4 linked regions of the Saccharomyces cerevisiae S288C genome follow. Changing the gene in region 2 together with the main gene of any one other region gives a genetic interaction. Each region holds a gene or a part of one and is shown on either strand. Other genes may lie near its edges. The genes, in order: PEX13, PEX12, PSK2 and NPR3.

Region 1 (4,051 bases), on a different chromosome or scaffold from region 2:
AATTCCTTGTTATATCCAACATCACTCTCTAAATTGAGCGAGTTATCAAGAGGTGGACGTTCTAAACAAAGAAGGGGCTCTGACACTATGAGGTCTGTATCGCCTATTAGGTTTCAGTTTTTGAACAACACTCCAAAGATGTTAAAACCCGAGTACCTATCTCAAACAACCAGTAATCTGCCATTGCTATCTGCCCTATTGAAGAATAGCAAGAAAACTACTAGTGAAGGCCAGAATTCAAACCCTGATCCATTGAACATAGAGAAAAACATCATTAAACAAAGCATCAAGGACAAACTAGAGCAGCTGCGCAGTTCAGAATCCGTTGCGCAAGTACAAAAGAAAGAACGCAATCCCCCTTCATTTGAGGCCAAAGTCTGTGCGGAAGAACCGATATTACGGAAAAACGCCGAAGGGTTGCTCCCCTCATACGTTCCTGTTCCTGCTACTCCTTTGGAAGATCCAGAAAATCATGGGGTGCGAAAGGTCGAGGACAAAGGACTTAGAGTCGTCTCCGGCGGCTCCACTCAGTGTCTAAGCACCGAAGTGAACGAATTGCCTAAGGATCTGAATCTAGACAATTTACCTACGGATAATAACGGGTTCGTTCAATATGGTCTCAAAGGCAATAACAACAACAACAGATATAGCTTTATCTCGTCTACGTCGACGGACTATGAGCCCGAATGGTGTGACGGACAACAACATATTTCAATGCAAATGGCCTCTATGGCCAATGCAGAGGAGGCAAATAGTCGTGAAAAATCGAATTTAGACATAAAGATCAAGCAGCTAGAACTTGAAATTACAGAATTAAAGTTGCAGAATGAAAAATTAGTGCATTCCATGACGACGAACAGATACATTGAAGAAAGATTTATGCTTGAGGTTATGAAGGATCCTAGTATACAGGCTCAAAGATCCCAAAGAGATATTGAGAGAAAAGTCAAGCAACTGGAGAAAAAATTCTTCAATTGTAAAAAAGTTCTTAAGAAATTGACTGAATCCTCCGCAGTAGTGGCCACCTCCACTTCAAAAACTGAAGGAAATTCAGCAAGAATCCCATGCCCTAAGACTAGACTGGCACGCGTTTCTGTTTTAGACCTAAAGAAAATTGAAGAACAGCCAGATTCTTCTTCGGGAACTTCGTCCGAGGAAGATCATCTAACAAACGATGATACGGATGCTAATACTAGCGAAGATTTAAATGTTGCTTTTGAAGAGGAGCCAACTTCTGCTATTTCCACAACAGCATCTGTGCAGAGTGGGGAAAGTAAAAGAGGTTTCCAACTTAACCTTCCTGTCCAAGTGGAGAAGAAGGAAAAATGAAGCGTCAACTTCAAATTAAATTAACTTATTTTACACAAACATTCACAATACATCAATGCTGATAGGCGCTTTGTATTGTAGGCTATCGAGTTACGCATCTGCAATGTGCGTGATTTCTCCGTTATCCATCCTTCTCATTGGACAATTTTTATTTGAATATTACTGAACTTCAAAGGGCTTGTCGTGTGATTTAATCTTTTTTCTTACAACGTCGAATGCTGCAGCTATTTATTCATAGTGTCGTCTAAGCAAATACCCCGCTTTTAAAAGCTGAATAGAAAATCCAATCACGGTGTGACTGGTATCACAAACACATAATTTATATATTGCATTCAAGTTTATTCAACCTATACTTAAATACATTAATTACCAAAAAAAATGATATAATAAAGTCTTCTTTTATCTGATTAATGACACCTTTTTCAGCGGGCCAAATTTTTTTTATTTCCGAAGCCCGCCGGACTAATATTAATTATATCAGATAGTTGGTGAGCAAACGCATGTGGAAATGAACAACAATTTCGAAAGTGCATATACTATCTATAAATATCAAGGGGATTCTATACTATAACAATACCTGCGATGTCATCCACAGCAGTACCACGACCTAAACCTTGGGAGACCAGTGCTTCGTTAGAGGAGCCACAGCGTAATGCTCAGTCTTTAAGTGCGATGATGACCTCGAATCAGCAGGATTCCAGGCCAACTGAAGAAAGCAATAACAGTAATAGTGCAAGTGAGTCTGCTCCCGAAGTTTTGCCGCGGCCTGCGGCACTTAACTCCTCTGGTACCTACGGCGAATCGAATACAATACCGGGAATATACGGTAATAGCAATTATGGGATACCCTATGATAATAATCCGTATAGTATGAACTCTATATACGGAAACAGCATAGGGAGGTATGGCTATGGAGGATCGTACTATGGCAACAATTATGGATCGTTTTATGGAGGAGGGTACGGTGCAGGAGCGGGATATGGAATGAATAATGGAAGTGGACTAGGTGAGTCGACGAAGGCCACCTTTCAGTTAATAGAAAGTTTGATAGGCGCTGTTACTGGATTTGCACAAATGCTGGAATCTACTTATATGGCCACACACAACTCGTTTTTCACCATGATATCCGTCGCAGAACAGTTTGGTAATTTGAAGGAAATGCTAGGTTCATTTTTTGGTATCTTTGCTATAATGAAGTTTCTTAAAAAAATACTCTATCGTGCTACTAAGGGGAGACTAGGAATACCACCAAAGAATTTCGCAGAATCTGAAGGAAGCAAAAATAAACTAATTGAAGATTTTCAAAAGTTTAATGATAGTGGTACCATAAATTCTAATGAGAAAGCCACAAGAAGGAAAATTTCATGGAAACCGCTACTATTTTTTTTGATGGCAGTATTTGGTTTTCCATATCTACTAAACAAATTTATTACTAAACTACAGACCTCTGGAACCATACGAGCATCGCAAGGAAATGGTAGCGAGCCTATTGATCCTTCGAAGTTAGAATTTGCAAGAGCGTTATATGATTTTGTTCCAGAAAACCCAGAGATGGAAGTTGCTTTAAAAAAGGGCGACTTGATGGCAATTTTGAGTAAGAAAGACCCTCTTGGGAGGGATTCTGACTGGTGGAAAGTGAGGACAAAGAACGGCAATATTGGCTACATTCCGTATAACTATATTGAGATCATAAAAAGACGGAAGAAAATTGAGCATGTTGATGATGAAACGCGTACACACTAGTGCATCAATATTTGCACACATATATTCGCATATATATATAGTAAAATCTAAAGTAATGTAAATATTCCAGGGAGAATCAGCAGAAACGAGACGAAGTACTTCTTAACAAAAAGCCAGATAACGGTGCAAAAACACATTATATTCTCCATCTTGAAAACACAATCTCCTACGTACACATATGCGTATTTATTTTTATATGAATGAAACGCCTATGGATATATATATGGGAATATAGACATTCACAATTTCAGGACAATTGTGATATGGCAATATCCAAGGCCTGCGGTGCTGGGCTTCGCTTTTTTTCACCAACAAAATGAGATGGACAAGTTTATCATAGCAAAGAAACAATAAGCAGATTACATAAAGTCGTCATCACCGAATTCAAAATCGTCGGGGCCATCTAGGTCGAAATCTTGATCTTTCTTAAATGCGCCACCCAAATTGGTCTTACCTTTGACTTTCTTCTTACCAGCACCCCCAGTAGCAGTACCACCTCTAACACGGGCCAGACGAGCTTGCCTCTCCTCTCTTTCCTTATCTTTGATCAAAACGTTCAAAGTAGCAACTGTTTGTCTTATAGATTCGATGGACATTGGTTTTGCTACATCTCTAATCAAATCAATCGCTAACGATGAGGAGTAGTTCAGCGGAGATTTTTTGTTCATTGGTGTAATAGCAGCAGTAAGAGCCTTTCTTAAATCCTGGTACTCTCTCTTTGTTTCGGCGTTAAACAAAGGATGTGTTTCGATAGGTGTGTCCTTGGTAAAGGCGGGTCTTTTTAGAGCTTGTTCCTCTTGTTCCTTTTGTAAAGCACGAGCCCTTGGATGTTCTTCGGCAACACCTAAACCCGCAAACAAATCTGCAGCATTGTTTAAGTCAGACTCCATTTCAGCCTTTTTGATTAATTCTTTACGTGTCTTTTCATCCAATGTGTCAATATCCAATAGGGCTCTGTCAGCGGAGGATTCTTTCCCTT
Region 2 (4,204 bases):
TACATATATATATACACGTTGGTACGATATGCGTTTACTTTATGTGTACTAAAATATATAAAAGTGAACAGAAGCATGTTCCTTGTTTACTACTATATCTTACCAGGAAACAGACAAAAAAAAAAAAGACTTGCTATATTTAAAGAGAACGCACATTTGTGAGGGGATAATAACACAAAGCAAAGTAATATAGGGTAAATGGACCTCCTAAAATTCAGTTCTCTAGCTATATCAGAAATTAACTTCCTGCACGAGTCATCGTTTGACTCGATAGACCACTCTTGGTTTTTATTGATAGGTTGCAAATTGGATCAAGATGATGAAATTTACATCCCAATAAATGGTAATGAAGCAGAGTCTCAATGGTATATTGAAAAAGTTATACGAATCCCGATGCAGGAAAATGATAAAATAAATCAAGAACGCCTAGAAAGGAGAATTAACCTAACAAAAGTGACTCAAAAGGACATTTGTATACTGGGTATTCTTGATTTATGTCAGTTAGAAGAGGACGAAAATATCACTAATAAAGTGACGGAGAAAGTGCTCACCCAATTGACCGCCTTGGCATTGAAATATCTGATAAAATATAACGTGTTTCGCCAACATACCTCCTTCCAAGAAGCTGTCAATAGTTTAAAGGGTTATAAAATTGAAAATAGTGTACAGATAGGCGCGGAAATTATCCTTGATTTTCTACAAGATAAAGTGCAAATTAAGGATGTAAATGACAGATACCAAATTCCCACACCTAATAATACCGTAGACCCAGGTTTTGATGAGTTTCAATTAATTGACATGAAGGATAAAGAAATCAATATTCAAAAATATAATAATAATACCATAAGAAAATTACTCGAGAAGATTAATCGAATGATAATATTCTTGAAAAATTATGATGCCACTGACAAGCCTTTCTCTTCCACGCAAGATGTAATACTTCGAAAAATATCAATGCTTGTAACACAACTGCAAAGAGGTGGAACAAGTGACATGAATTACCTGCTGGATAACAAAATTAATGAAATAAAATTATTAGAAATTTCGTGTAAACAATGGGAAATTTCAAATATGTTAAAAAAATAACTAGAATATATATATTACACAGAATTATTTTCTTCACTTCCTCCGTCATCAGATTAGTAGCTTCCTAATACCTGTCACAACTTCCCATTTATTCGTGTGTTTGTTGTATGTACAACCCAGCAGCTTTTTATTGGTAACGGGACAATGGCCTTCATTATTAACCAAATAGCTTATGGCACACGGGTAGCATGCCACGTATCCTGTTTCCAATACACAGGGGTTTTGTACAGTTTTTTCGCAAACGGGACAGGCCTCAGAAACTCCCTCTTTATCTTCCGTTTTGTCACTATGTGAGGAGAAAGGCGGCCTTGGAATATCTTCATCCAAGTCATTGACCCTTTTCTGCAATTTAGTAGTCATGTCTTGTGTGGTCCACCATTGGTACACTCTTAGGACAAATATAAAAGTGGGGAAGAATTGCGAACCCATAAATGTTAAAAATCTGGGTATAATCGATAATTGTCCTTGCATTAGCGCGAAAATTGACGATATATTTGTTTTCCTTAGCCTATTATCCATCCCTTTCGTCTCTTTGAGACCAGAGAGTTCTGACGATAGTGGTCTTACCGTTGTGTACTCTATCTTGAATAAGTATTGCAACAAGGAAACCGACCCTGTTCTTTTAGTTAAAAATAATAATTTAACGAGTAAATTGGATAACGCTAATAATTTCTTAATAAATGGATAAATTCTTAGAAACGCTCTCTTGGGCCATTTATTTTCAGTTTCATCGCTGCTGAATATATTATTCATTGATATTTTCTCTAATATTTCATCCAACTTCGCTGTGATATAGGGGAGAATAATTTTTTCCAAAAAAATAACACTCTTTTGCTGTTGATTCAGCTGCAAACCTTGGGGCCATTCACTCTGGCCCTTTGGATTTAAACATTGTGTTAAGGCAAGATTTCTGTCCCTCGAACTAAATAGTTGCAATCCATAAAACCGATCAATAAACGTAGAATTGTATGTCTTTAGATGATACCATTCAACAAACCCTTTTATCGCTTGAAACCACTCAAAAAAGTACTTGTTCAGCCGCAAAGTATACCTGTTAGGGAAGTTCGCCACTAAATGATTTGCCAGTAGATAACGGATGGATGCGGGCAGTAACGAATCGATTTCTTGTGATGACATTATCTCAAAGATAGTCGGATACAATGGTTCTAATCCCACCCCATTTCGACCGCTTGTTGAAGACCCTCGACTAGATTGTCCTGCAGACGGTAGGTTTGAATAAAAGCTCATCACTTGACGACTACCTTCCTTTCCTTTGCTTTATTTTCCCTGCTTATTCCCTTGCTTCTTCTGGAGCCTTCATGCAAAACCGTTTCTCTACCTAATGTGATTCTGCGGTAAGCATTGCTCTTAAGCATCTGAATGAGACGAAAGGATGACTCCACACTAAATTGTACCTCTCTTCTCCAGTGACTGAATTGGAGGTTACCATTGCCAGTGACGGTAATCGTCCACATCGATGATTTCTTAGTATAACCCACACACCTCTCAGACATAGAGGCCCCAGGTGCAACGTGATAGTATAACTGCCCGGAAGTAGAAATACAACTATTCCCTTCATATTAAAAGAATAAAACTTCATTTGAACTCTTTAAAATTTAGTGGTTCATTGTGGTCCTTGTGTAAACGGAAAAAAAGGATATTACGGTAGTGGGTAGTACATAACAAGAGATGACTATCCCTGGAAGATTTATGACAATTGATAAGGGCACTTTTGGTGAATACACTGCTAGCACCCGTTGGCCCATTATCATTCAGAATGCTATAGACGATTTAAGTAAGCATCAAGAAACGGAGAAGAGTAACGGCACTAAGTTCGAACAAGGTGAAGTTATCAAAAAGGAGCTCAAGGAATTCCGTCAGGAGATAATTGATCGTGTACCTTTGAGACCCTTTACTGAAGAAGAGATCAAAATTGCCAACGTCCCGCTTTCGTTCAATGAATATCTAAAGAAACACCCTGAAGTCAATTGGGGGGCTGTAGAGTGGCTGTTCTCGGAGGTTTACTTGTATAGAAGAGTAAATGTTCTTTTCCAACGCCAATGCGAATGGGCTAAATTTGACATATTCAACAGACTTAAACAGTCAACTTTTGAGTCCTCGTTTTATGGTGTCGTGGAATTGGCGTTAAGGTATGAAAATCTGTTACCACAGCTGAGAGAAATGAAGCAAAATCCAGGAAATGAGATTGACGATATATTGAAAGTTCTTTTTAAAGAGTTTATTGAGATTTCTTTGTGGGGCAATGCCACTGATTTATCTTTATTGACCAACGCTACGTTAGAAGACATTAAATCAATCCAAGGGGCGAAAGCAAGAGCTGCATCCGAGTCCAAGATTGTTGTTAATGACACGGAGAAAGCATGGGAGGTATTAACCAAAGCCAGGGCCGATGCCAATAGCAGAGAAATTCGTGTTGATTTTGTATTAGACAATTCTGGCTTTGAATTGTATGCTGACTTGATGTTGGCAGCTTTTCTGTTACAAAGTGGTTTGGCTACCAAATGTATTTTCCACGCTAAAGACATTCCATACATGGTTAGCGATGTTATGTTAAAAGATTTTGATATATTAGTTCATGACCTGAGAGATCGTGAGTTCTTCCCAAGTGGTGAACCCTCGACAAAGGAATCCAGAGCTCTTGATTTATTTGCTGGTGAAATGGAAAAGTTCGTCTCTAGCGGTAAGATAGAATTCCGCGAAGATTCTTTCTGGACCACGGAATTAGATTATTGGAATTTGGACGCAAACGAAACCAAATACCATGGATCCATTTTGCACAAAGATTTGCAAAAATCCAATTTGGTTATTTTTAAGGGTGATCTAAACTATAGAAAATTAACTGGCGACAGAAAATGGCCCCGCACCACTAAATGGGAAACGGCTATCGGACCTCTTGCTACGAATGGTATTACATCATTGAGCTTGAGAACCTGTAAAGCCGATGTACAAGTTGCTTTACCTGAAGGTCTAGACGCGAAATTAAGTCAAGAATGGGAAAAGGAAAATCCTGGCCGTGGTTCTTGGTGGTGTTGTAGCGGTAAATGGGCAGTCATTTGTTTCTGCTCTGGTATACATAAATAAGAATATGATAAGTTCT
Region 3 (6,120 bases), on a different chromosome or scaffold from region 2:
GTGAAAATATTCAAAATCTCACTCTGCAGTGTTAAACCTAATTTGGTAAAGCTGGGCATAATATCACAGGCGCTGACAAATAAATCTAATATCATAGGGTTGGACTTGAAAACGGTAATATCAATAAATCCAACCTCAGACATTTTTTCTAGGCAATCCTTGATATCTCTTTTTATGAAAAGGTTCACACATTCTTGAAATACTTCACTCCTCTGATCATTTACCGACTTGGTCGATTCATCACTTTCAATGAATAAGTCATCGTTAAGTAAATCCCTTAGAGAAGAATCGAGGGAATGCATAGGCAGATTGTTCATTATCTCACTTGCAGCCATTATTCACAGAACCCTCTTGTATAAACCACACCGTAGTACGTTCTGCTAGTGCCTCTTTCTGTTTACCTAACTATTTCTCTTGCCTAAATATGTAAGTCTACGATGACTTTTCTATGGTACTTGATGTCACTCCGACGGCGATAAGCCGCTCAGCGCAGAAGTTTGCCCCAAAATAGAATGAAAGAAAATACTGCATAGAGGCTGGACAAGAAGGATATAGAGCAATGATATGATATTAAAAATGTAATTAATATATAGCCAAAAAAAGAATAGAACATTTATGAAGGTAAATGGTTATGAAAATGGATTAAATTATTCTTTCCCTTTATCTTGGAGAGTACGGAAAACTAGATTTTAAGCCATTTATCTTCATATATTTCATCAATAGTAGGTCTTTTATCAACTTCTCTTGTCAAAATTCTTTTTATCAAACTGATGCATTCTTCACTGACATGTTCCGATTTATCGAACCTTAATTCACCTTCCAAGATTTCATCAATGTTGTAATAAGGATTCTCTTTATAAATTATGGTATAAAGTAGCACACCAAGAGCCCAAATATCTTGTGGTTTACCTTTGTAAGAGGAACCACCAAGGACTTCAGGTGCAGCATAGTCCATTGTTCCCACAAAAACATCGAATGGTCCACTCTTGATATAGGCAGCCGAACCGAAATCGATTAATTTTACAAAGCCATGAGAATCAACAATAACATTTTCGTCCTTTATGTCTCTATGAACAATTCCTTGGTCATGTAAATGCTTTATACTAGCGACTACCTGTTTAAACACCAGTTTAGCTTCATGTTCAACCATATCTTTTTTGAATTCGATAACATCAAATAGATCAATACTACCAGTTTCTCCATGGACCGGTGTTTCAATGTAATAATAATCGTCATCTTCAAAAAAATCTAATAACTTCAAGATATTTTCTTGGGAATTTTTATTCAAGGTCGCCATAATTTGGATCTCAGAAGGTATAGTACCTAATTTTCTATCTCTCACCCATGTGTCTACTAAAATCCTCTCTTTGAAAATCATTTTGATGACCACGATATAGTGTTCTCTGTTATGAATGCATAAATTGACTTTACCGTACGCACCCTCACCCATCACTTGCAGAATAGTAAAATCAGAAAATTTCTTTATGCGCTTTTGTGAGCCTATATTAGCCTCTGGAGTAGTCAAGTACGTAGCTTTTAAAGTAGAATTTCTTTTGTCTAGCTCATTTGTTTCCTTTTTGATTTCTTCTCCGTTTATCGGTTCAATTATCCTCATTATAAATTTTTCATCCACTTTAAAGTTGTCGTCCTTTACAAATTTTGATTTGTCCTGCGTGTACATTTTCGTTAATTCAATTTTATGTTTTAACTCAGGATCATCAACCATTGTCATGTCATCGTCATAGTTATTGTTGTCATTAGATTCGATACCTCTCACTTTACCGCAAGAAGTTTCTCGTAGTTTTTCATTCACTTGATTTAAGTCTACTTCATCGTCTGAATTAGAAATCGTTTCAGCGGAGCTAATCGACAGATCAGCCATTGCCTTCAAAGTATTCACAGGAATTTTTTCCGAAGATTTCTTGGAAGATGCACTGGAACTACCTCTACTGCCAACGACATCAATTTCGTTCTCCTTTAACATCGGTAGCTGCGAAGGAACGGTGGTATAATTTTCAATGACCACGTCTCTTGAGTGTGTAATCCATAATAATACAGCATTCGTATTCAAGACCCGTAATTGAACATCCACCTTTATCAAATTACCATCTTTGTGACAGCCGTCTAGACCAATAGAAGTGTAAAACGAGTCCTTATCATGATGCATTTCAGCCTCAATTTTTCTGAAAAAATGTTCTGTTAAAACCAATCCTTTATTTTCTGGTAATGTGATATTTAACATAGGATAAGTTTTATTGATATAAGATATCATGTCCGCCAAAGAAGGAACCAACTTAGTAACCGAACTACCGGCCAACTCGTGAAGTCGCAAGCCAAACATGTTTTTGGCGACTGATTTGTTGAAACTTAAAAGACTTAAAGTGTGACTGTCAACAATAAATAGCCCAGCCTGATAGGGCAAACTATGAATTTTTAATTTTATTTCGTTTTCCAATACGGAAGTTGTAACAGCACATGGTATATTTTCAGATAGACAATTCAACGTAAAATATCTCTCTTCGTTGACATGATTTGCCACCCTGATAGACAAGGGTAATAAATCATCATCTGCAGAAAACACTTTTCCAAAACGTACATCATCAATTAGTTTACTCAGTGAGTGACTTACTGACCCAATATCGTGAATTTCATTTGCAAATTTTACCGTTTTCTTTTCTGTCATTGGCGAAGTTGATTCTTGCTGCTTTTTCTTGTCAAAGTTTTCCAGAAAGTGTGTTGTATCAATAATGCTGTCCACTGAAAAATCTCTCAAGTTTAACATGACGTCAATGTAATCGCAAGGCGTTTTTTCAAATACGCAGACCAGTAGGCCATTCTTCCGCTTGGCCCATAGTGAAGCCCAAATCAGATTTGGTACATTATTATTGCTTGTCGAATTTGGCTGGACGATAGGTATAGTTTCTCCGGTAAACACAATTTCTTGGTTATCATCTTCTGCATTCATGATTTTCTCTAGAACAAAATTTCTGCTATCCGTATGAATAAGGTCTAGTAAAGTAAGTGCCTTGATAACATTCTTTGATATACCGAACGTTAGACACGCCAAATCATTGGCAGCTTTGAAGTTCCAGGGGTATTGTTGAGAACATGTAAAAATGGCCTCTGGACCAGAATTTTTTGCAGATGTGAAAGGATGAAGAATTCGGCTATAGTCCTGTTGTGGTTTGATGTCTGCTAAGGAGACTATATCATCGTGTTTCTCCTCATATTCATTATATTGCGATTTCGAACCTAAATCTTTGTGAGGGAACTTCTTGTAGTTTTCAAAAAATGGTTCTGCTAAACTATCTAATAAAACCTTTTTCAAAGTTTCTGATTTTTGAATGTCTGAATCAAAGTTTATTTTCTTGATATTCAATAACGATAGCATGTGTAAATCGGAAGCTCTTTCGAAGGAATTGTTTTCCAATGCTAAATTTAGCAAGAATAACAAGTTTTCTAACTCGGACTTGGCTGGATTCAGTTTACTGGCAGTATCATTATCAGGCAACACCATTAAGGACGTTGCTCTCTGTATCACGGGTCTACTAGCAGGAGATGGCATATTGGATACTAATGGTGAAATTAGAGACCCATTTAACGGATCTCGCGATGCTGATAACGTGGCAGTCTCTGTTAAGTTTCTTGTGTGTCTAAGTGAGGGGGGGTATGCTATTACGGGTGCTTTTTTCTTCAACTCATGTAAGATGTCAGGACTGTTTACCATTATTTCCAAAGACCTTCTTAAGATGGTCAACCTTACTCCCAGTGAGTTTGGTGATATGGGATTATACGAAAATGCATGCGGCGACTCATTAGGTACAGCAACAAGGTCCGAACGATCATCATCACTGAATGTTGACGAAAACGAATCGACGGACGAGGAAGCGTGTTGGTACAAGCATGGAGGTTTAGAGAGCCCTACCAACGGGGTATTTTTAGAATATGAAATGTCGGCAGGAGCGGCTGCACTAACCGGGTATGTCATTGTGTTCTTTGTTTATGATTCTTTACTTTAATCTAGCAGGGCAGAGGAGTAACAATAAAACGCCCTGCAAAGAAGTATGATTACTGTTCTTGCCAGACTTAGAATTCTAAGTGTTAAAAGTCACCAATAAGGAAGGAAAAAAGTTTATGATAGTTTATACTGTTGTTGTTACTACCTGCTCCGTTATGTTTCTAACAAGGAATAAAACAGGGTATAGACGTGATGTCAGCTTAAAGAGGAAAACGAAATATGTAAACTTTGTTAAAAATAAACAGGGCCCCTTATTGATCGTTCGCGATGCTATTATTTTATAAGCCAGCCTTTATCGTTTCTTTTGATCTTGTTTCTTTTTCTTGTTTTTTTTTTTAACTTCGTTCTCTTTTCACGTACTGATTACTCACACCAGGAGAAAGAAGTTGAAAAATGCTGTTATTCTCTGGAACACGCTATTAGATAGTACTTGCTGGTTCCGTAGACAAACAGCTCTTGCGCTTTATCACTTCGACAAGTGTCTTTACAGCTTCGCGATGACATATCGTCTCTTGCCCCTGCCCCACCTGTAACAATAGCTTGGCCAAAAAAGAAAAAAATGTTCCGACGAATTTTTCCGCTGATTTTGGCTGATCGCGTCGCGCCACAAAAACGAAACTTCCATAATAAAACATTATATAAAGCTTTTTATTATTATTATTATTACTTTCTTAGTTATAGCATTAGAACTATAAGAGCTGCTAAGACACCAAGCAAACATGTCGACTAGACCCCAACCTGATTGGTATTACCATAGACATCCATATGCCTCTACGCCACTGGCAGAAGGGGAGGAACCACAATTACTCCCCATCCAAGACCAAGGGAACCATAAGAAATCAAAAATTTGGATGGCATACAAGGCTCCGATAGTTCGATGGTACAAGAATGCTATGCTTGTTAAAGACAATTTTTGGAAAGACCTAGAGTCGTCGCACCAGATCATCTGGTATCCGTATAAAGTATGTTGATGTTCCAATAAGCAGATCATGTTTTTTAAGCCGTCATACTAACCGCCTTTGAAGGGAATTAGCGAATCCGTGGGAAACTCGGATTATTTGCATCTATTTTTCCTAATATTTGGATACTACCTGCTGAATCTCCTGCTTATTGTTGCGTTTACGTCAATCCTTGCGTGGTCCTTGTTAGTGTGCATCTATTTGCCCTTTCTCGGACTCTTTGCGTTACCTCTGGCTTATATGCAAACTATTCTGATTTCCACAACGCTATGTAATTCTATGGTGAAGGGTACCGATTTCGTTCTTTTCACACGTATTTATGGAGTGACGTTCGCAAGAAAGGGATTAACAGAGTTGAGTGAAGCCTGTGAAACGATAAGTTTCACGCCCTTTGTCTACAGAAGGTCACATCGTTTGGGTGGCCTCTTTTCGAAACGGTTTTACCTCGTCTCTTTGCCGCAGTTTTTCATTTTTTTCTTCTGGTACATCTTCATAGCCTTTATGTTTCTTTTATTGTTGCTCGTTCCAATAGTGGGTCCAATTACAATCAATATGCTACCATTTAGCCCCGGAATGGGATTTTACTATTTTGAGCCTTATTTTGTTGACGTGCTACATTTGGATTCGCGCAAACTTTCCAAAGTTTACTACAAGGGCTTTGCCAAGTGGCTCCTTTACTCGATATCCAGCGGTTTATTAGAGTCTATTCCCATTCTGGGTGGGTTGTTCATTGGAACAAACGCAGTAGGTGCTTCGCTTTGGATAGTTAAAGAGATAAAAGACCGGGACCAGCCAGCCGTACCTCCTTCCCCTCCTGCGGAACCAGAAGAGCCTACTGTAGGATCCTATGCACCTCCAATCCAACAATCTATAGCTCACATTAATCCGCCATGAAGCTCGCAACTCTTTTACATACCAATTTATATATTCATTATATGTTTACATATATAAATATATATATATACTATATACTATATATTACTTGCTAATAATATTCGTTTCTTTTCAACATTTGTATATGCATAAAAAATTTGGGAAATCAGGGGACTTATGAAAATCAGGGTGGTTACACTCGGAACTTCAAAACCTAAATAAAGTAAATCACTTTCAAGAAAGGTGAAGGGACGTCAAAAAAAGGAAAAA
Region 4 (6,483 bases), on a different chromosome or scaffold from region 2:
CAATCCAAACCTTTAATCGAACATCACGACATTAACGAGGACAATACTCTTCTGGGTAATTATGAGGCCTTGATTAAATGCATTAACTACTCTCCACCATACCAAGCACCTTTCACTTTCGGAATTTATGATAAGCCCTCAGATCTAAATAATAATCTGGACTTGAATTTAATTACCACCCCAGCAAAACTAACAGAGAGATTTTTGTTTAAGTCTTTCATTAGGGGGTTGAACTTGTTCGAGAGTCATATCAATGACTTCAACAATCAATTTAGATTGCAGTTGCCCGAAAACTGTTGTGTTATCTTTAACAACAGGAGAATTTTGCATGCTAACTCTTTAACAAGCTCAAACCAGCAATGGTTAAAGGGTTGCTATTTCGATTCTGATACTTTCAAGAGTAAATTAAAGTTCTTGGAAGAGAAGTTTCCTCATGACAAATAACTTCATTTTTTCAGCATAGTTATGTGATTCTTTATATTTATTTATTTTCTCTCTGTGTAGTGACAATTTTTTTTTTAATGTTTCATGTTAAATATATTTATTTTAAGAAGCCGTCAGTTTCCTTTTGTTTCATTGAAATCAATAACTAAAATTAAAATTATAAAAGGAATAACGTAAAAGAAAGTCTACTACCCAAGGAAAATCTACTTTATTTAGTGATTATATCCAACTAAATATCATTCAAATAACCTCACATATTTGTCTTCACCCTTAAGATTTTACGATTTACTAAGTTCACCTTCTCATGGCTTTGGAGGGATTGCGGAAAAAATATAAAACAAGGCAGGAATTGGTCAAAGCACTCACTCCTAAAAGACGGTCCATTCACTTGAACTCCAATGGTCACTCCAACGGAACTCCCTGTTCAAACGCAGATGTTTTGGCTCATATTAAGCATTTCCTGTCATTGGCGGCTAATTCATTAGAGCAACATCAACAGCCTATTTCAATCGTCTTTCAAAACAAAAAAAAAAAAGGCGATACAAGCAGTCCTGACATTCACACAACATTGGACTTCCCTTTGAATGGCCCGCATCTATGCACTCATCAGTTCAAGTTGAAAAGATGCGCAATCCTTTTAAACTTATTGAAAGTCGTTATGGAAAAATTACCGCTAGGTAAAAACACTACAGTGAGAGATATCTTCTACTCCAACGTGGAATTGTTTCAAAGACAAGCAAACGTAGTCCAGTGGCTGGACGTTATACGCTTTAATTTCAAGCTCTCTCCAAGAAAATCCTTAAACATTATACCAGCTCAAAAGGGTTTAGTTTATTCGCCTTTCCCCATTGATATTTATGACAATATTCTGACATGTGAAAATGAACCAAAGATGCAAAAGCAAACAATTTTCCCTGGTAAGCCCTGTCTAATTCCATTTTTCCAAGATGATGCGGTCATCAAGTTAGGGACAACAAGTATGTGTAATATTGTAATAGTGGAAAAAGAAGCTGTCTTCACCAAATTAGTAAATAATTATCACAAGTTGAGTACAAATACCATGCTCATTACAGGTAAGGGATTTCCAGATTTCTTGACAAGGTTATTCCTAAAAAAACTAGAACAATATTGCTCCAAATTGATATCGGACTGTTCTATATTTACCGATGCGGACCCCTATGGGATTAGCATAGCCCTAAATTATACTCACTCGAATGAACGCAACGCTTATATTTGCACGATGGCAAACTATAAAGGAATTCGTATTACGCAAGTTTTGGCACAAAATAATGAAGTGCATAACAAATCCATTCAATTATTGAGTTTGAATCAGCGCGACTACTCCTTAGCCAAGAATTTGATAGCATCTCTGACTGCCAACAGCTGGGATATTGCAACTTCACCATTAAAGAACGTCATCATAGAATGTCAGCGGGAAATTTTTTTCCAAAAGAAAGCTGAAATGAACGAGATTGATGCCAGAATTTTTGAATACAAATGAATAAGAATGGGAGCTGTTGCTTTATAAAAAATGTTTTTCAAGAATTGAAAACGGTTACATTTAAATATTATATAAATTGAAATCTTTGATAATGAATACTAGTCCAAAAAAAAATACAATTTCAAAAAAATAAATGCCATCTCCTAGAATCGAACCAGGGTTTCATCGGCCACAACGATGTGTACTAACCACTATACTAAGATGGCATATGATTTTACAATGATTCGATGGTGAATGAGTTATAAGCCATGTAAGGATCACTAGTCTTTTTTCTTAAGTAACTTTTTCGCTTGTGATATCTTGAAATACCATTAAACATAGATAAGCTATTGAAATGTGAAGAAAATTCAAAAAAAAAAGGGAACAGAGTCATCTTTTGGGTAGAAACTAAGCTTCAATGGATGAATGTTTACCCAATTCATGTCTACTAGGTGTTCACCTCGTCATTTCAACGCATTCGGGGCCACAAATAGTTTATCACTACCCACCCTCCAATACAGCATTTCTAACAAATAATCCAACGAAGCATCAGCACCTCTATGGAAACCATGCAAATCTAAATAAAAACACAAGTACAAATAAAGAAGAAAAACTCTTTAATTCTGGCTCTACGAAAACAGCTTCTCAAATTGCTCTAAACGAGTCAGCGAAAAGTTACAATACCGCTATTACGCCATCAATGACAAATACTAATACTAATAATGTGACATTACCTCCAACTAGATCGCATGCTAATACTGTAGGATCACAAAGTTCAATTCCTGCGGCTACTAATGGTGTAGGTTATAGAAAAACCGATATCGAAGATACTTCTCGGACTTTTCAATACCAAGAAACTGAATCTGAAACGTCATCATCGGGATTAAGTGACAGCGAATTGTCCACAGACTACTTAGACATTTCTAGCGATTCGTTTTCTATATCTTCTTCCTTATCGTCATCTTCTTTATCTTCTTCTCCCTCAAGTTCATCCTCATCTTCCCCTCCGCAAGATGGCTTATCAAGAACTAATTCGAGTTTCCAATCTACGGATTCAATGTCTCCAACTTCACCACAAATGATAATGGAAAACGATAGTATTTCAGTAGCGGAATCATATCTAGATTCTGGGACTAATAACAAATCAAGGGCCGCTTCCAAGAGATCCCAGAATTTCTTCCATAAATTGAGTACCAAGAAGAGTACTGATTCAAAAACACATTCTCCAGTAAGAAAGCTTAAATCTAAGCCATCACAAAGCACTAAAAAAGGCAACAAACTGTTAAAAAATACGTCCAATGAGACTGATGGAAATGCTTTTACAGGAAGTTGTTCAATTTCTTCTAAAAAATCTTTATCGAGTACAGGAGAGCATAACCAAGAACTTCGTAATAGTAGCCTGAACGACACTCCTGGCCAATCACCTCATCATTACCACCATCGTTACCACCATTATCATAAAAATGCCGCGACGAGCCAACGAAATTCCCATACCCAGTACGATGTTGAAGAAGAAGACATGGAAGTTTCGGCAATGTTGCAGGATGGTAAAATCTCTATGAATGAAATTTTTTTTGAAGAGGAAAACTTCCAGGATATAAATAAAATTCTAGAATTTGATAATGATTTTGTTGCAGAATTTTGTAGCCCTGAGAGGGAAATGTGCAATACCAGATTCGAATTCACGGTGGATAATTTCTGCTTCTTAGGCTTACCTATTCATGTAGATTCTCAAGGCAGATGGAGAAAATCCAAGCACAAAAATAAAACCCGCTCTAAAAGATCTTCGAGTACTACAACAAACATCAGTAGAAAGAAATCTATCGCTTCCAAAATTTCATCACTGAGTGAGAATACTTTGAAGAAAGTTAATAGTGGTGAAGCTGACACTGTTTATGACAGTAATATTGGTCATGAGGCTTCTACTGATACGCCGAATTTGAGGATAAATACTGATGTCAGTGGAAACGAATTTGAGAGAGAAAAGGAAGACTTGGGCAAAAATATGAACATGTTTCATGTATGCTTTGTTATGAATCCGCATTTAATCGAATATAATAAAAGGATTGATGACATGTATCAGTTTGTTGTTACAAGGTTATCATTATTGTTAAGATATGTGCAATCAAAAACCTCGTACATTTCTAGCGAATGCCATATAATTTTAAAGGAAAAAGAACGGGTACTGAAACATTCGAAAACATACCAATCTATAAGAGGCGCAGGAAACAAGGGGAAGTATCTGTACCAAAGAATTTTAGCCAAATCTTCGTTGGCTAGGGCGCTAACGGAATGTGTTGATAAAATCCAACGAAATGAAATCGCATGTCTTGAGATCAATGACGATAAAGTAATTTCCTTGCAAATCCCGATTCAAAACGAGTTTGAAAAAATGCCAAACTTCAAACTGCAACCCGTGCTAAGAGGCTCATATTTGACGTCCATTTTGAACATGAAATTTTTAGAAAAATCATCATTGAGAATTGAAAGTCAAAATCGTCAAAACGATCAGGCTCAATTCAGTGATACCAATAATAACATATACAGGTTTGGCAATAATATTAATAGTACCGGCCACTGTGGAGCAGCAAATGTGGATGACGGGGACGACAATGAAAGCAATTACTACTGCGACGACAATGATGACCTTTTAAACTATGCGCTATTATTATTGGACGAGCCAAATAATATTATTAGCTCCCTCGAAACTTTTTCATACCAGGACGATATTGGCACTATCATATTGAAACATTTAGTCAGAAATATCCAGCCAAATATCCCTCTAAGGTCGTATCGCTATCTGATAACTGATTTATTAGATAACCCTTCTTCACTGGACGACCTTACTACAGAAACAAACTCATTGGAATCAAGCATACTGCGCTCTTGCGCATTGCATTTAATGTATTGGAGACATGCAAGAATAGTGATCCCACTAAGCTCCAAATACACGTATATTGTTTCACCCTTGGCTCCTATTCAAGGTTATACAATAGATGATTATAAAAGTACTTCACAAAATGATGGGAACGTGAAAAAAATGGACGATCGCGAAAATAATAAGAGTGGAAGCGACAGAGTACCACTAATTTATCAAAATTCGATGTTGTTCAGATCCAAATTCCCATCATTGCCCAGTTTACCCATTTTTTTAAGTTTGTTGTCCACGGACAAACCTCAAGCGTACAGTAACATAATCCCATCAAGGGAACATAAGCCAGTTTACCTGAACGCGTTAGCGTGGTTAATACAGTACGGGTATGTAACCCAATTATTGACTTTCATAAATATCCGAGTGGACAAACACATAAAAATGGCAGTAGATGAGGATCTAGAAAAGGAAGGCTTCCGTAAGACTAATACTGCTAGAAGGCCCAGCATGGACTACAAAAAAACTGATAAAAAGCTGGATGATGAAGATGGGCAAAGTAGAGATGCAAACGCCAGCGAAGCGTGTTCAGGAAAGAATGAAGGCATGCAGTCCAACGACAACAACAAAGATGTGGACGAAAAAGATAACGAAAATGATAGTCGTGTTGATGATCGTGATGACAATGAAATAGCTATTGCGGATGAAGAAGAAATACTACACTTCGAATACGATGATCCAGAAATGCAACATGACTATACTATAATTTTGGAACCTGAAAGAGCCACTGCGATTGAAAAAAGATGGCTTTATAGATGTATTTATGGTCAGCCTTCAGATATCCAGATTCTTTTTAACAAGTTGCTCAAGTACTTCAATGGAAAGGTCCCCATGGAATTGGTTATCATCAAAGAGGAAATTAGCAGACATGACCTAAAGAAATTGCTCAATGCTCTAGATAAGTATTTAATCGAGATACACCATTGGTAAATCTCTCTATTGTAACAAAATGTAAGTAAAAAAAAAAAAATCTACCAAAAATTAAAATATGTGTATATAAGAATAGACAAAAGGAAGAATATATAAAAGGAAAAAAACATTTCGAGTGACTTGTAATCAAAACTCGAAAGTATGTATTGTTATATTAGGAGACAAAGAAGGTAAAAGAAGGAAAGAAGGATGAAAACAATACCAAGTGAAAAAAAAAAAAAAGATCCAGAGAAAAAAATAGGGAGACGAAAAAGAAAACGAAACTGCACTTTTAAAGTTAACATCACCGCTGAATTACATACATCTTTTGCAGCTTTTACGACCAATCATTTTTAGTAATCTAAACTATAAGCTTTGTTATCTTCATTTATGTCACCAGTATCGTTTGATATGAATTCGTTCGCATGAACATGGGTACTGCCATGATTAGCAGCATGTGATTGGCTTACATTTATTGGAGGAGGGATCATGCTTCCATCTAACCCAGAAGGCGGAGGTGGTGACATGGGATAAACCATCATATATGGATGGTGATTTCCAGCAGAACCTTGAGAAGGATGCAATGGGCCCATTGGGCCCATATGGTATTGCATGGGGTGATAGTAATAAGGCTGGAAATAGTATGGTTTTGGAGGTACTTCATTGTATCCGTAGCTTGACCTCCTTGCATAGCGCTTTTTATATTGAGACTTATTACTGT

What was found.
Region 1: mutations in PEX12 (region 2) and PEX13 together harm fitness less than expected from each alone (positive genetic interaction), as found in Saccharomyces cerevisiae (4 studies listed by BioGRID).
Region 3: mutations in PEX12 (region 2) and PSK2 together harm fitness more than expected from each alone (negative genetic interaction), as found in Saccharomyces cerevisiae (3 studies listed by BioGRID).
Region 4: mutations in PEX12 (region 2) and NPR3 together harm fitness more than expected from each alone (negative genetic interaction), as found in Saccharomyces cerevisiae (3 studies listed by BioGRID).

The regions. Positions count from the first base shown.
Region 1 is NC_001144.5:535,361-539,411, forward strand, and holds PEX13 (peroxin PEX13), read left to right. Parts: upstream 1-1,911; coding exon 1,912-3,072; downstream 3,073-4,051. Other genes in the region: MMR1 (Mmr1p), read left to right, coding at 1-1,329; HCR1 (translation initiation factor eIF3 core subunit j), read right to left, coding at 3,432-4,051. UniProt on the Saccharomyces cerevisiae protein: Component of the PEX13-PEX14 docking complex, a translocon channel that specifically mediates the import of peroxisomal cargo proteins bound to PEX5 or PEX21 receptors.
Region 2 is NC_001145.3:323,102-327,305, forward strand, and holds PEX12 (ubiquitin-protein ligase peroxin 12), read right to left. Parts: upstream 2,335-4,204; coding exon 1,135-2,334; downstream 1-1,134. Other genes in the region: CSI1 (Csi1p), read left to right, coding at 199-1,086; YMR027W (putative methyltransferase), read left to right, coding at 2,776-4,188. UniProt on the Saccharomyces cerevisiae protein: Component of a retrotranslocation channel required for peroxisome organization by mediating export of the PEX5 receptor from peroxisomes to the cytosol, thereby promoting PEX5 recycling.
Region 3 is NC_001147.6:241,365-247,484, reverse strand, and holds PSK2 (serine/threonine protein kinase PSK2), read right to left. Parts: upstream 3,989-6,120; coding exon 683-3,988; downstream 1-682. Other genes in the region: PEX15 (Pex15p), read right to left, coding at 1-335; LDS2 (Lds2p), read left to right, coding at 4,738-4,980, 5,044-5,871. UniProt on the Saccharomyces cerevisiae protein: Serine/threonine-protein kinase involved in the control of sugar metabolism and translation. Phosphorylates UGP1, which is required for normal glycogen and beta-(1,6)-glucan synthesis.
Region 4 is NC_001140.6:58,423-64,905, reverse strand, and holds NPR3 (Npr3p), read left to right. Parts: upstream 1-2,342; coding exon 2,343-5,783; downstream 5,784-6,483. Other genes in the region: AIM17 (Aim17p), read left to right, coding at 1-444; SPO11 (DNA topoisomerase (ATP-hydrolyzing)), read left to right, coding at 749-1,945; RIM4 (Rim4p), read right to left, coding at 6,116-6,483. UniProt on the Saccharomyces cerevisiae protein: Component of the SEA complex which coats the vacuolar membrane and is involved in intracellular trafficking, autophagy, response to nitrogen starvation, and amino acid biogenesis. Mediates inactivation of the TORC1 complex in response to amino acid starvation.